3 linked regions of the Struthio camelus genome follow. The protein of the gene in region 1 binds, or shares a complex with, the protein of each later gene. Links are inferred from orthologs where the notes say so. Each region holds a gene or a part of one and is shown in the gene's direction. Other genes may lie near its edges.

Region 1 (3,741 bases):
ACGGGAACCGCCCTGGCAGGAGCATGTGAATTGTCAGCTGGATGTGGGGAGGGGATCGGGGCAGGCTTCAGTCAGTTTGCGCTCCTAAGCAAAACCAAAACCCTCTTCTTGGCTTCAAAGCCACTGGAAGACAAAACACCCCTCTTGGTCCCCTTTGCCTCTGTAAAGGAGAGGGAACTAGCAGAATGGGATCTGTTTGTCTGGGGAAAAAACGTCTCCTAAATGTGGTGCTTTACAAATAGGGAATGCAAAGTTGAGGCTGCAGAGTGGAGCCAGCTGTCTGGGAAGGAGCCTTCATGAGGATTAATGAGTCCCTGCAGAGAGGCCTCTGCATGCTGGTGGGGCTTGCCGTGCTCTGGGGCTGGGGGGGGACATCAGCGCAGAGGGGGAAAGCAGTTTGGTGAGCGGCGTATCTGATGAGTGAGAGCTCGCTTCGCTGAGCGCAGCCTGCCTGGCCAAGGATGACGTGCGCTTGGGGAACGCGTTGGGGGGGCGGGGGGGAAACAGAGGAGGAACAGATTAAAAGGGTGCAAAGGGCAACTTGGCTCTGAGCCAGGGGATGGTCATACCTGTGCAGTGGTGCAACTGCTGCCTACAGGACTGCCCCGCATCAGGAAACGCGCAGGATGGAGCTGGTGCCGGGCTGAGGGGCAGGGCAGGGCAGAGCGGGCAGCTGCGGCCGGCAAACAAAGGGCTGCCCTGGAAGGGATGGGCGCTCTTTCATAGGAGAGGTGGGTACTGGAAGGGACAACCGACTTCCTGAAAGTAATTAAAATACCCAGATAAAATCTGGGCTGCAGGTGAACTCCAGCTCTGTGAGCAGTGACGCGCGGGGCCGGCCAACAGCGCCGCTTCCCCCCCGCTCCGTGTCACCTGGGCTGTGGACAGCAGGCACCGCCCGAGAGGCTGGAAAGGGTCCTTCTCCGCGCACACAACCGCTGCGGGGCCGGGGCATGCTCTTCCTCCTTCCATCCCCGCTGACCCTGGGGGAACCCGCCCGCCCTGCGGCCCTCCGGGGCGGGCAGGGCACAAGGCGGGATCCCCCCCCCCCCCAAAGCCTGGGGCTGAGCTCCGGCCCACTCCAAAACCGCGTCTGTGTGGCACCGCGGGGCGCCCCCCCCCCCCCCTCCGCCGCCTCAGCGCGGCCCCGAGGCGCGACCGGCCCAGCCGCGCCCGCCCCGCCCTTCCGGCGCCCCGTGACGCACTTTCCAGAGCCGCCTCGGGCCGGGCGCGCGCGCGCGCCGCCGCCTTCCCCCCTCCCCGCCCGCCGAGGGGGCAGCGTCCTCCCGGCGCGCGCGCGCGCGCGCGCCCATCGCCTCCCACGTGACCCCGCGCGGCGGCCAATCGGCGCCCGGGGCTGCTGGCGGCGGCGGCGGCGGGGGGTGGGGGGGGGGTGAGGTGGGGCGCGCGCGCGCGTGCGCGCGCTCTCGCGGGCGGTTGGCGGCGGCGGCCGGCGGGAGCCGAGCGCGCGGGCCGTTCCCCTCAGCGCGCGGGCGCGCGCGCGCCGCCTTCCCCTCCCTTCCCTTCCCCCCGTCCCGTCCCGTCCCGTCCCGTCCCGTCCCCGCCGCCATGTCGGAGGAGAAGCCCAAGGTGAGGCGCGGCGGACCTGGCTTCCCCTCCGCTGTCCCGGTGGGCCGCGGCCGGGCGAGGCCTGAGGCGGCCGGAGGGGGGAGGCCTTCTTCGGCGGGGGCTGCCAGGATGGCGGGGCAGGGTGTCCCGGTGAGGGCGACGCTGCCCCGCCCCGCCCCCGTGACCGGTCCCCCCACGCGTACACCCGGGGTGGCGTGAGGGGGCCAAGATGGAGGGCTGAGCGGGGGGAGGGGGCGGGGAAGTGGGGTCCTGCGGAAGTCCCTTGAACTTCGCCGCTGAGTGGAAACTGCAAAATCGGGGGCTTTCCTGAGGAAAATTGTTCGGTAGTACGGTCGTTCTTATCTGTGCAATGCTAGGAGCGTGCAGAGTTCGTAAACAGGGAAAAAGTGAAGGGAACGTGAGTGGAGTTTGTACGGCTGCATGTCTCTGCAGTTCATTTTCAGGGGGCATCCAGGTAACAGAAATGACCTCTGTTACCTACAGAGGTATGTAGGTGTGCTGGGATTTGCTCCGTGAAGTTTTTTGCTTTTCCCCTATTACCTGAAATGATGACTGCAAAACCGTGCAGGTTTTTTTTTTTTTTTAACCCCCCCCCCCTCTGTGTGCTGTGGAGAGCATCCTCCCTTTATAAACAGGAAGAAAAGCTTCTGGTGGTTGAGAGCTTTGTTACTGTTTGTAATGGAGCCTTTAGATCACTTTTATTCAAAGCAGTGCTCACTGTGTTCTGCCTTTTTGTCTGTTTTTGTTCAGGAAGGAGTGAAAACAGAGAATGATCACATCAATTTAAAAGTTGCTGGCCAGGATGGTTCTGTGGTCCAGTTCAAAATAAAAAGGCACACACCTTTAAGCAAGCTGATGAAGGCTTATTGCGAGAGGCAGGTATGTACATCAAACACTGCTTTTGCAGGTTATGGTCCGGTTCTGCAGAGGGTTCTTCATGCTGCTTGGGACTCTTATCATTTCATAAGGAAGAGCCCTTGGCAGTATGGAAATTCCACTGTTTTTCTTTCTGGAACATTATAAACATCAATGCATCAGAGAGTGAATATGCCTGTTTGTACAGAAGCGCAAGAGAGTAAAGATTTAGGATGCTAAGTCCAGACTCCTAAACTTAACCGACAAAAAAGATTTTAACGCTAGAGTTGATGAAAGTCGCCCCTTCCTCGCTGTGTGCTTCTGGATTTCTAAAATCTTCCCATGACGATACCAGGAGTCAGAATTTCTTGAGTTCCGATCTTAGCTCAGACTGATTTTCTGTGGGAGAGTAGGAATCTTTAGCTTCCTAACCCACAGTTTTATTATCTGTAAAATCTTTATTGACTTTATACAGTATGTATATGTATTTTCCGTTTGGAAAATGGCAGGAAAACAAATTGTAACATGCTGTGACGTTTTTTGTTTACAAATTTTTTTCTCCTCCCTTCACCTACCTTCCCTTGCATGCTCCACAGCTTTGATTGCTGTACTCTACAGGTGGCAGGAAGCTGCTTTGTGTAGGAGACTATTCTTTGGTGCTGTCCCCATTTATATGGAAGTGTGATTTACCCTGATAGCCTGCTTCTCGAGTCTGTAGTTCTGAATGTTTGAACTACTTCTACACCGTATTAGGTGGCACAGAAAATGAAAGCCGTTCGCGTTCCTACCCTTCCTGAAGTGGAGTGAAATTTTGTTTGCAGGCATCGCCGTATCTAATATATGTGGGATCCTTTCTTTGCTCACCTGAGTTGTATGTTCTGCCCTCTCATGCTTGATGGAGCAAAATGCCACTCAGGTTGGGAACAAGAGCTACATACAGTATCATCTTGAGAGATGCATGAGGAATTTTTGCATCTGTGCGATGGTGGTATGCGTGATTGGAAACATGTCTGAGTAGCACAGGGTTTTCAAAGGATTTTAGAGGTCAAAACAAAGACGTAGATCACTGAGGCAGGGAATAAAGACTGTATCATGTAATTCAACGCTGTCATAACATGATTCCCTTGTGAATTCAATGAAGATTTTAAAGGCAGCGTTAACCCACTGAGTTAAGTCTAACACTTAAAAGCCCTGGTGTTTTTTCTAATGACTTTTCTAAGTAAAGATCTGCATAAAGGCCTGCAAATTTTTTTCCCCTCAGACAATCTTTGCTTCATGTTTCCTTTTCTTTATCAG
Region 2 (3,741 bases), on another chromosome or scaffold:
AGCATACATTAATTTTCACACATTCAAGCCCTGTAATTTAAACATAAGAACATATTACTAGGACTAAAGAAACCTAGAATGCCATGAGGCAAATCATTATACAAGTACCACTATCCACTGAAACTACTTAACATTGTTCAATGTATTGCATTACTCTACCAGTTTTAACAGTCACCTTCATCAGTTGAAAAAGACTTGAAATACACATACTCTATTTAATGTGCTATGTATGTAGAAAGGCCAACCTCAACAGCTGTAGAGACACTCATTTCCCTGTCCTATTCAACATACCTCAAAGTGCTTTACGTTTCTGATGGGAGCACACAGAAAAAGTACCTGCTCCACAATAAAAGCACTAATGAATCAAACCCCAAGACCAAATAAAGAACCACCCCTCACAAAATTACCACTGAATTTCATTGCAATCTTTCACCAGCCAGGAAAACTTCTTCCTCCAACAGAGGAAAATATCCCAAAACATTAATTCTAATTTCAAAATATTGCCAAAGGAATCAAAGGAAGAGTAACTACAGCAAAAAAGGAAAACAAAAATGGATCTCAACAGAACCATTACATAGCAAATTATTTCACAATTCCAAACATACAAAGCTAAACACTTTTTAAAATCAAATGAAGAGGAAGGCACCAGCAAACCGGAGACAGATAAAATACAAGACATTTCTCATGCCATCGCTAGAACAATTTCCTGAGTCATCCCATTCTTCAGCCCCGGGAGCAGCCTGGCTAGGGCCGCGCTAACAGACTTCTCAGCGTTGCCGAAGCAGAGCGTTGACCTAAACGCGGCTGCTATCCAGCTCCTTGCAGTTCACGCTGGAGGAAGAGGGGCCGATATGGATTTCAGAACTTGCATCAAATGCTTAAGCTATTTCAGCTTGATACTGCCAGCGCAGAAACGCTCCTGGAAACTGACAGTCCTGAACGAAACCTCCAAAAACGACCGCGAGAAACATTCTAAGCTACCTAATCGGACAGGCTCTTTTTATTTTAAAAAAAAAAAAAAACACCCGTCGGCCAGCGCCGACGCCTCCAGCCGGGAGGGAGCTGGGACGGGCCGGGCTGCGGCGGCGAGGCCGGGCCCGCTGAGGCGGCGGGTGCCGGGCCTCCTGCGCCAGCGCCCGCGGGGAGGCACGGAAGGGGGGAGGCGGCGGGGGGAGGACGCAGGTAGGGCCGCGCCGCGCCCTCCTCCCGGGGCCAGCCCACACGGGGCGGGCGGCCCGGCCCGGCCCGGCCCGGCCCGCCGCTCCCCTCCCCTCGCTCCGCCCCGAGGAGGAAGGAAAAAAGGAGGAGGGAGGAGAGGAAATACCTCCGCCGCTCCTCGCCCCAGCGCCGGCCACCGCGCAGGCCCTCACCCGCCGGCTGGCGGCGGCTCCGCGGCCGTTGGCTGCCGGGAGCGGAGCGGGGCGGGGCCGGCATGGCGGCGGGGGCGCGCGCGCCGGAAGCTGCGCGGCGGCGGCGTGCGCCAGGCTCGGCGCTGCCGGCCGTTGGCCTCGCGGCGGCGTTTAACCGCCTCGCTCGCTCGCGCGCGGGCGCGTGGGGCTGCCGGGCAGTAACGGCCGCCGAGTAACGGGCGGCCAGTAACGGGCGCGGCGCGGGGAGGCCGCGCGTGCGGTTCGCGGGGCGCCGCCGAGGCCGCCGGAGCGCGACGCCGAGGGCCGGGAGCCGAGAGCGGCGGCGGCGCGGGGAGACGAGACAAGGCGCGGCGCGGAGCGGAGCTGCGGGGGCCGGCGCGGAGCCGCCAGCAGGTGAGCGGTGGCCTTGGGCGCTCCGCGCCCCCTCCGGGGCCGCGCCGCTGCTGCGGGAAGGAGCAGGGCCTGGGCGCCTGGCGCGCTCGTTTTGCTGGGAGCAGTGTTCAGGCCTTTGCCTCGTTACTCGGGGGTGCCTGTTCCCTAGGTTGCGTTAAAATGACTGTCTTATATTTCTGAATGCCGACTTAGTATTTCTTGTCAACGTCTGTGTTTCTGAGGTCCTGTTCTTTCTAGTCAGTTAGCGTTAGCTAACTTTAATAGCTAACATTTAACAACAGATGTACGTGGTGATGTACTAGCACGTGTTTATATTTCCCTTGCACGGTTTTCTGACGTTCAAATGATTAACTACATGTATTTTTTTCTTCTACAGTCTTTCCCTAGTGAATGGATCACTCTGGATGTGGGGAAAAAAAACTAAGGAGGCTGTTTTGCCATAGGTTTCTTTTGAAGCATTTGAGCACTACTTGGTGTTGAAGGAAGGGCAGCAACCAGAACAGTGTCAGCCAGTTAGCTGGAGCCGTGTCCATGTGCCCTTCACTTCCACTGCCTGAGTCTGTTTCTGAAATCGTGCATGTGTTAGCTGTAGGGATAACAAATACTAGTTTAAGCTATATTTTTTCCATACTAACTTACTTCTTGTAAAAGCGCTAAAAGGCATCATTGGCAAGATGCTTAGTGCCTGTACATTCCAGTACCTGCATCAAAGCATGTAGTGTACTAGGACATTTAAGATAAGCTTGACTATAGAAGAAGCTTTTAGAACAACTTAGTAATCATACTGCAAATTAGTTTATTTCACAACTTCGTGTATTTCAGCTTCGTTTGCCTTAGTCTGGGTTAGGCTCTTTGCAGGAAAGAATCTTGCATTTGCCGCCCACCACAGGAGGATGGAATTGTAGTTCTGCCTAGCATGTATGGCCTGTGACGTAGGTACAGTTACCAAATGACATCAGCAGTGTCTCTTTAATGTCACACTTACTGGAATACATTTTTTTGGCCAAAGCTGTAATTTTTTCATGCTCTGTGATTTGAATATTAATAGTTACAGCTGGAGATTATAAAAAAAAGACTGTTTTGCGTAAGGAATACACACATACCTAGTAACGTGGTCAATGTAAACGTGTGTGACTTTCTTTTCAAACTTTTTTCACCCTTCCTTTTCAATTTCCCTTTGAAGGAGAGAAGGCATAGGATTTGCAAGAAGTTTAGGCTTAGAAGAGATGTTCACTGTAATGTAATCACTGTTCTGTAACCTGCTTACTGGAGTTCCTAACTGACCTTATTTCACAAGATACTGAAACTGTTACTTGTGTCACAAGGTACACCTCACTGTTATCAAAAGCCTGCTTGCCATATAAATTCTCCACCTCTTCCCTGCTTTCTGTCTTCTGTGTCGTTATCTCTGCAGCTCATCAGACCTTTTCATAAACCAGCTTAACTCACTCAAGTCTTAAGTTTTCTGCTGTTTTATGAGTTCAGCTAGCTTATGGAAAGTCTGACAAAGATGTGAACTGTTGGGTTGGTGATGGAATGAGAAAGAGGAGAAGAGAGATGCGAGACCTTCCTATTACATAGCAGTGACCTATTGGATCATCAGTTACCTGAGGAACCTTAACTTTAGCCTAGTAATTATACCTAGTCAGTAGCATATTTTGCATTATACTTTGCAAGTGTCCAGCATAAGGGAAAGTAGAATAAATGTTTTAAAACATAGCACAGTAAGCTTGAAAGCATATTCCTATTTATTTTCTGATATGTAATGCTGATGTTACATGCTGCTGCAATGGGTCGCTTCAGTAGTTTGTAAAGCAGTCTTTTAGTTATCTGTTTTTCTTGGCAATTGTTCTTAGTTCTTATATGTTGTGCAAATACTACAAATAGTTTACTGTAATTTTACACATACTGAAATGTACCGATAGGTCGCCTAGTACCACTCGGTATATCTAGTACTGGCAGGCCTGTTTTATTAACT
Region 3 (3,741 bases), on another chromosome or scaffold:
GGAAAATGTGGAGTTTCTGGGGAGAGAGGGGAACTGAGGCACGGAGGCTGCAACACCGGCGGTCGCCGGAGGGGTTGGCCAAGGTGTTTTGGGGACCTGGATGGGCACGGCCCTAGGGCAGGGAACAGCACCATGGCCTCGGGCTATAGGGGTCTTAGCAGCCCCCAGGGCAGAGGACAGCACTTTCCCCTTCGCCCTGTCCCATCCTCCCTCCCTTTCCCTTTTCCTTTTGTTCTCTTCCTCCTTTCCTTTTTGCTTATCCCTTTCCTTTTTGCTTTTTCTTGCCTTTTCCCCTCCTTTCCTTTCCTTTTTCCCTTCCTTTCCTTTTTCCCCTTTCTTTTCCCCTTTTTCCCCTTTCCTTTCCCTTCCTTGGTGCCTGTTGGTACCAGGCTGCTCTCACCGCTGGGACCAGTCCCATGTCCCTCCTGGTCCGAGTCCACACTGACCTGGCGGCTCCCGTCCTTTCTGGGCGAAGGGGAAGAAGGTGAGGAAGAGGAAGACGGCGGCACAGGTGAGCGAGGCCGACAGGAGGAGCTTGGAGGCCTCCAGGGAGAGCTCCGGGAAAACCCCCATGGCTGCCCCGAGGCATCACGGGACCAGCCGTATGGGGACAGCTGGAATGGGATCGGCTGTAACAGGATCAGCTGTGCAGGGACCGGCTGTAATGGGATAGGCTGTGCAGGGACCGGCTGTAATGGGATCAGTTGTAACAGGACTGGCTGTACAGGGACCACATTATAATGGGACCGGCTTCACGGAGACCCTGCAGATGGGGCTCCAGGGGTGGCACTGGCCCACAGTGTGACACCCCAGCGGGGTGTCCCCTCCATAGGGTGTCCTCTCCATAGGGTGACACCTCAGAGTGAACCCCCCCTCCCATGGGGTGACACGGCCATGTAGGGTGACACTCCCCAAGGCAATCCCCACACATTGGGAGCCCTCCATAGGGTGCCCCCCATAAGGTGACACCCTCATGGGCCCCCCCATATGGGCCCCCCCCATAGAATCACTCCCCGCATAGGGTGCCCTCATAAGGCGATTCCCCCCCCCGACTGCCCCCCATAGGGTGCTCCCCCATAGATTAACACCCCCCATACGGTGACATCCCCCCATAGTAACCCCCCTATAGAGTAACTCCCCCCATAGCGTGATTCCCCCCCCCCCGGATTGCCCCCCTGTTAGGGTGCCCCCCATAAGACGACACCCCTGGGACATCCGCGCCGCCAGGGGGCGGCCTCCGCCCCTCTCCGGGCTGCGCATGCGCGGGCCCCTCCCCCGCCGGCCGGGCCCCCGTCCTCCCCGTGACGTCACTTCCGGCGCCGTCGCGCTCAGCGCCGACTTCCGCTTCCGCCTGCCTCGTTGCCGGGAGCTGCCGGAGGCGCCCGGGAAACTCGCGCGCGCGCGCGCGCGGCCTCGCGCCGGTTCCGCTGCCGGTGAGCGCCCCCCTCCCCCTCCGCCGCCGCCCCCGCCGCGCTCCGGGGAGCCCCGGACCGCCCCCCGCCCCGCGGCAGGGCAGCAGTGGCGGGTTACCGGCCCTGCGGCCCCCGCCGCCGCCGAGCTCTTCGTCGCCCCCGGTGGGGAGCCGTGCACCCGGCTGCTCCGTGGGCGCCGCAGCGCGGCGGGGACGTTGTCCGGCGGCGGCCGGGTTGGGGGGCCGCGGCGTGGCCGGGAGCGGGACAGGCCCCTCGCCCGGGCGCTCCGCTCGCTGCCTTTGCGTAAAAAAAAAAGCCACTAGGCCCCTTTTTCTCTATTATATCATTTCGACTAATAAGAGGCCTCCTGCTCCTCCCTCCTGGCTGTGCCCCACGGGTTCCCCCGGTCCGTCGTGGCCACGGGGGTGTTTTTTTGCACGGTGCTGTCGGTATAACCCTTGTGTTCTTGCAGATCTCCGCGGGTGAGCCGTGCCGGTCAGGGATGTGAGCTGCCTGGAGATGGGTAGGTGCATGTGTTTCTGCTATGCCGGAGCGAAGGGTTTGGGCTGCACTGGCACTTACGTGGTCTCTGGTCCCACTTTCTCCTGCTCGTGTAACTTCTCTTGATGCCTCACGTCATTTCTTGCGATTACAGAAAAATATTTGGAGCTTAGAGGCAATGCTAAGGTGCAGATGTTATTTAAGGAGCTGACTGGAGGCTTGCAGGACTGATGAAAGGGACTGTCGTTTTTATTGATTTTTTTTTTTTTTTGTGATATTCATCTTTCCTTTAAAAAAAGGAAAAGTGAAGCCTTCTAACCCAGCCTGCAGCTGCTCTAATCTAAGCAGAACAAACCTCTCTGAGTGCAACTGAGCAGAAACTTCTGCTCTTGAGTCTTCTGGGGATTCATGGGGGCTCTTTCCTCAGATGAAATTGCTGACCCGGTGAGGATGGAAGCCAGAGATGCGGCGTTGACTAACCACAGTTCCATGTTCAAAGCTTTCCCTCCGCAATCAAGAGCGAGCCTGCGGGATCAGCTTTTGCAGTCGGACAGCAAGGTTTGCGACCTGTTTATTCCTTCCTGGCAGAGCCGTCCTTTGTCCGTGCTGTTGCTTCTTTTCACTCGAAATGATCTCTGCTCGGCCCTTTCTCTGAAGGTGATGTGCTTGGGCAGCTGGTCTTTTGGGCTGATTACTTCTCTTGTTGCTTCCGTCTCTATCTTTCAGTATCAGTCTTCCTCCTGGGGTGGAAGCCACTGTGGGCAGGGCCTTTCTCTGCAGCATCCAGCTGTTATCACAGGATAAGATACCAGTGCACGTTAACCTTTGAATGCAACCTGCTGGGTGTTTCAAAGAGTGACTCTCTATTATACAGTAGTGCTGATTGCCTGCTGTCGATAATGCCAAATACTTCCTGAACAGAGCCACTGCTTTAGGAGCCACATTGTGCTTTTAGTTACTGATAAGCTTATAAAGCCGAAATTGCTTGTGAAATCTGCACACGAGCCCTTGTGTGTGCACGTGAATCCTGTGGAAAGTAAAATACACAGGTTTGCTTGTTTTATGGAGTCTGCAAGCATGTGCATGTATCACATAGTCATGTCTCAACGCGTCGACTAGGAGACAGTACCAGCATAGCTATGAAACTGTTTTTTTGCCCTATACCAAGATGAAAACAACATTTGTTTTTCTCTTTTCATTAAAATTGAAATTCCACCTGGCAGAGTGGATTTTAGACTTATTGGGGAGTGAGTGACACCTTCGTGACAATGTGCTGCATTGTCAGGCCAGGACTGGTATATTATTACACCGTTCTACTCTTTCAGTAGTTCCTAATTTATAATTATGTGGTCAGGGAGGGAGAGGAGCTGTAACTTGTCACGTGCCTTTATAGTTCTGTTGCGAGTGAGGTTTAAAGTTGAGAGCTATACTTCTTTTTTAATAAAAGGTTACAATCTCTTTGCCTAGTTCTTACCAAACAAGATTGGCAATTTCACTTGTCCTGCTGGAAATGCATCATGCACCCTCAATTACAGCCCAGGTAAGACATAGTTTTCTGCCCTGGATATAGATGTTTGTTTTTCCTGTTGTTCCCTCCAGCGGAAGATGTGGCTCTGTCTTGACTGTTACTGTGCTTCTCCCCGGCAGAAGTTCCATGTCCTGAGACCTTCCAGGCACCAGGAGAACCTCGAGCATTTGGCTCAAGCGCGAATGGGCAGTGGAGGGGTCTGGTTCCCACTCTAGGTTCTGTGTTGCAGAAGCCTCGAGTGAGTCGAGGCTCTTATCTCGAATCACGCAAAAACCCCAGGTGCGTCCGCATCTCCTCCGT

The links. The genes of interacting proteins can lie anywhere in the genome.
Region 2: the proteins of SUMO3 (region 1) and USPL1 are in contact, whole or in part, in a crystal structure (PDB 7ZJU), measured with the Homo sapiens proteins. The link is inferred for Struthio camelus from reciprocal best matches to the Homo sapiens genes SUMO3 and USPL1. Residues at the interface, in NP_008867.2 of Homo sapiens: Gln24, Asp25, Gly26, Ser27, Val28, Arg58, Arg60, Gly63, Gln64, Pro65, Ile66, Asn67, Asp70, Leu75, Phe86, Gln87, Gln89, Thr90, Gly91; in NP_005791.3 of Homo sapiens: Ala234, Cys236, Trp237, Pro321, Gln322, Leu323, Arg324, Met330, Glu331, Ser332, Val334, Phe335, Leu339, Tyr368, Thr378, Thr380, His393, Phe394, Gly395, Pro396, Asn398, Arg407, His421, Val423, Tyr451, Asn454, Asn455, His456, Phe457, His493.
Region 3: the proteins of SUMO3 (region 1) and SENP1 are in contact, whole or in part, in a crystal structure (PDB 6NNQ), measured with the Homo sapiens proteins. The link is inferred for Struthio camelus from reciprocal best matches to the Homo sapiens genes SUMO3 and SENP1. Residues at the interface, in NP_008867.2 of Homo sapiens: Gln24, Ser53, Arg55, Gln56, Arg58, Arg60, Asp62, Gly63, Pro65, Asn67, Thr69, Asp70, Gln74, Glu76, Asp84, Phe86, Gln87, Gln88, Gln89, Thr90, Gly91, Gly92; in NP_001254523.1 of Homo sapiens: Gln440, Asp441, Glu446, Arg449, Leu450, Thr451, Lys455, Trp465, Leu466, Asn467, Asp468, Glu469, Asn494, Thr495, Phe496, Lys500, Arg511, Trp512, Lys514, Lys515, His529, Gly531, Val532, His533, Trp534, Gln597, Gly600, Ser601, Asp602, Cys603.

The regions. Positions count from the first base shown.
Region 1 is NC_090950.1:3,429,200-3,432,940, reverse strand, and holds the start of SUMO3 (small ubiquitin-related modifier 3), read left to right. Parts: upstream 1-1,396; 5' UTR 1,397-1,569; coding exon 1,570-1,590; intron 1,591-2,340; coding exon 2,341-2,469; intron 2,470-3,741. UniProt on the Homo sapiens protein: Ubiquitin-like protein which can be covalently attached to target lysines either as a monomer or as a lysine-linked polymer. Does not seem to be involved in protein degradation and may function as an antagonist of ubiquitin in the degradation process.
Region 2 is NC_090942.1:199,403,903-199,407,643, reverse strand, and holds the start of USPL1 (SUMO-specific isopeptidase USPL1), read left to right. Parts: upstream 1-1,531; 5' UTR 1,532-1,763; intron 1,764-3,741. UniProt on the Homo sapiens protein: SUMO-specific isopeptidase involved in protein desumoylation. Specifically binds SUMO proteins with a higher affinity for SUMO2 and SUMO3 which it cleaves more efficiently. Also able to process full-length SUMO proteins to their mature forms.
Region 3 is NC_090969.1:3,526,429-3,530,169, reverse strand, and holds the start of SENP1 (sentrin-specific protease 1), read left to right. Parts: upstream 1-1,309; 5' UTR 1,310-1,433; intron 1,434-1,884; 5' UTR 1,885-1,931; coding exon 1,932-1,935; intron 1,936-2,340; coding exon 2,341-2,471; intron 2,472-3,380; coding exon 3,381-3,453; intron 3,454-3,560; coding exon 3,561-3,720; intron 3,721-3,741. Other genes in the region: PFKM (ATP-dependent 6-phosphofructokinase, muscle type), read right to left, coding at 447-573. UniProt on the Homo sapiens protein: Protease that catalyzes two essential functions in the SUMO pathway.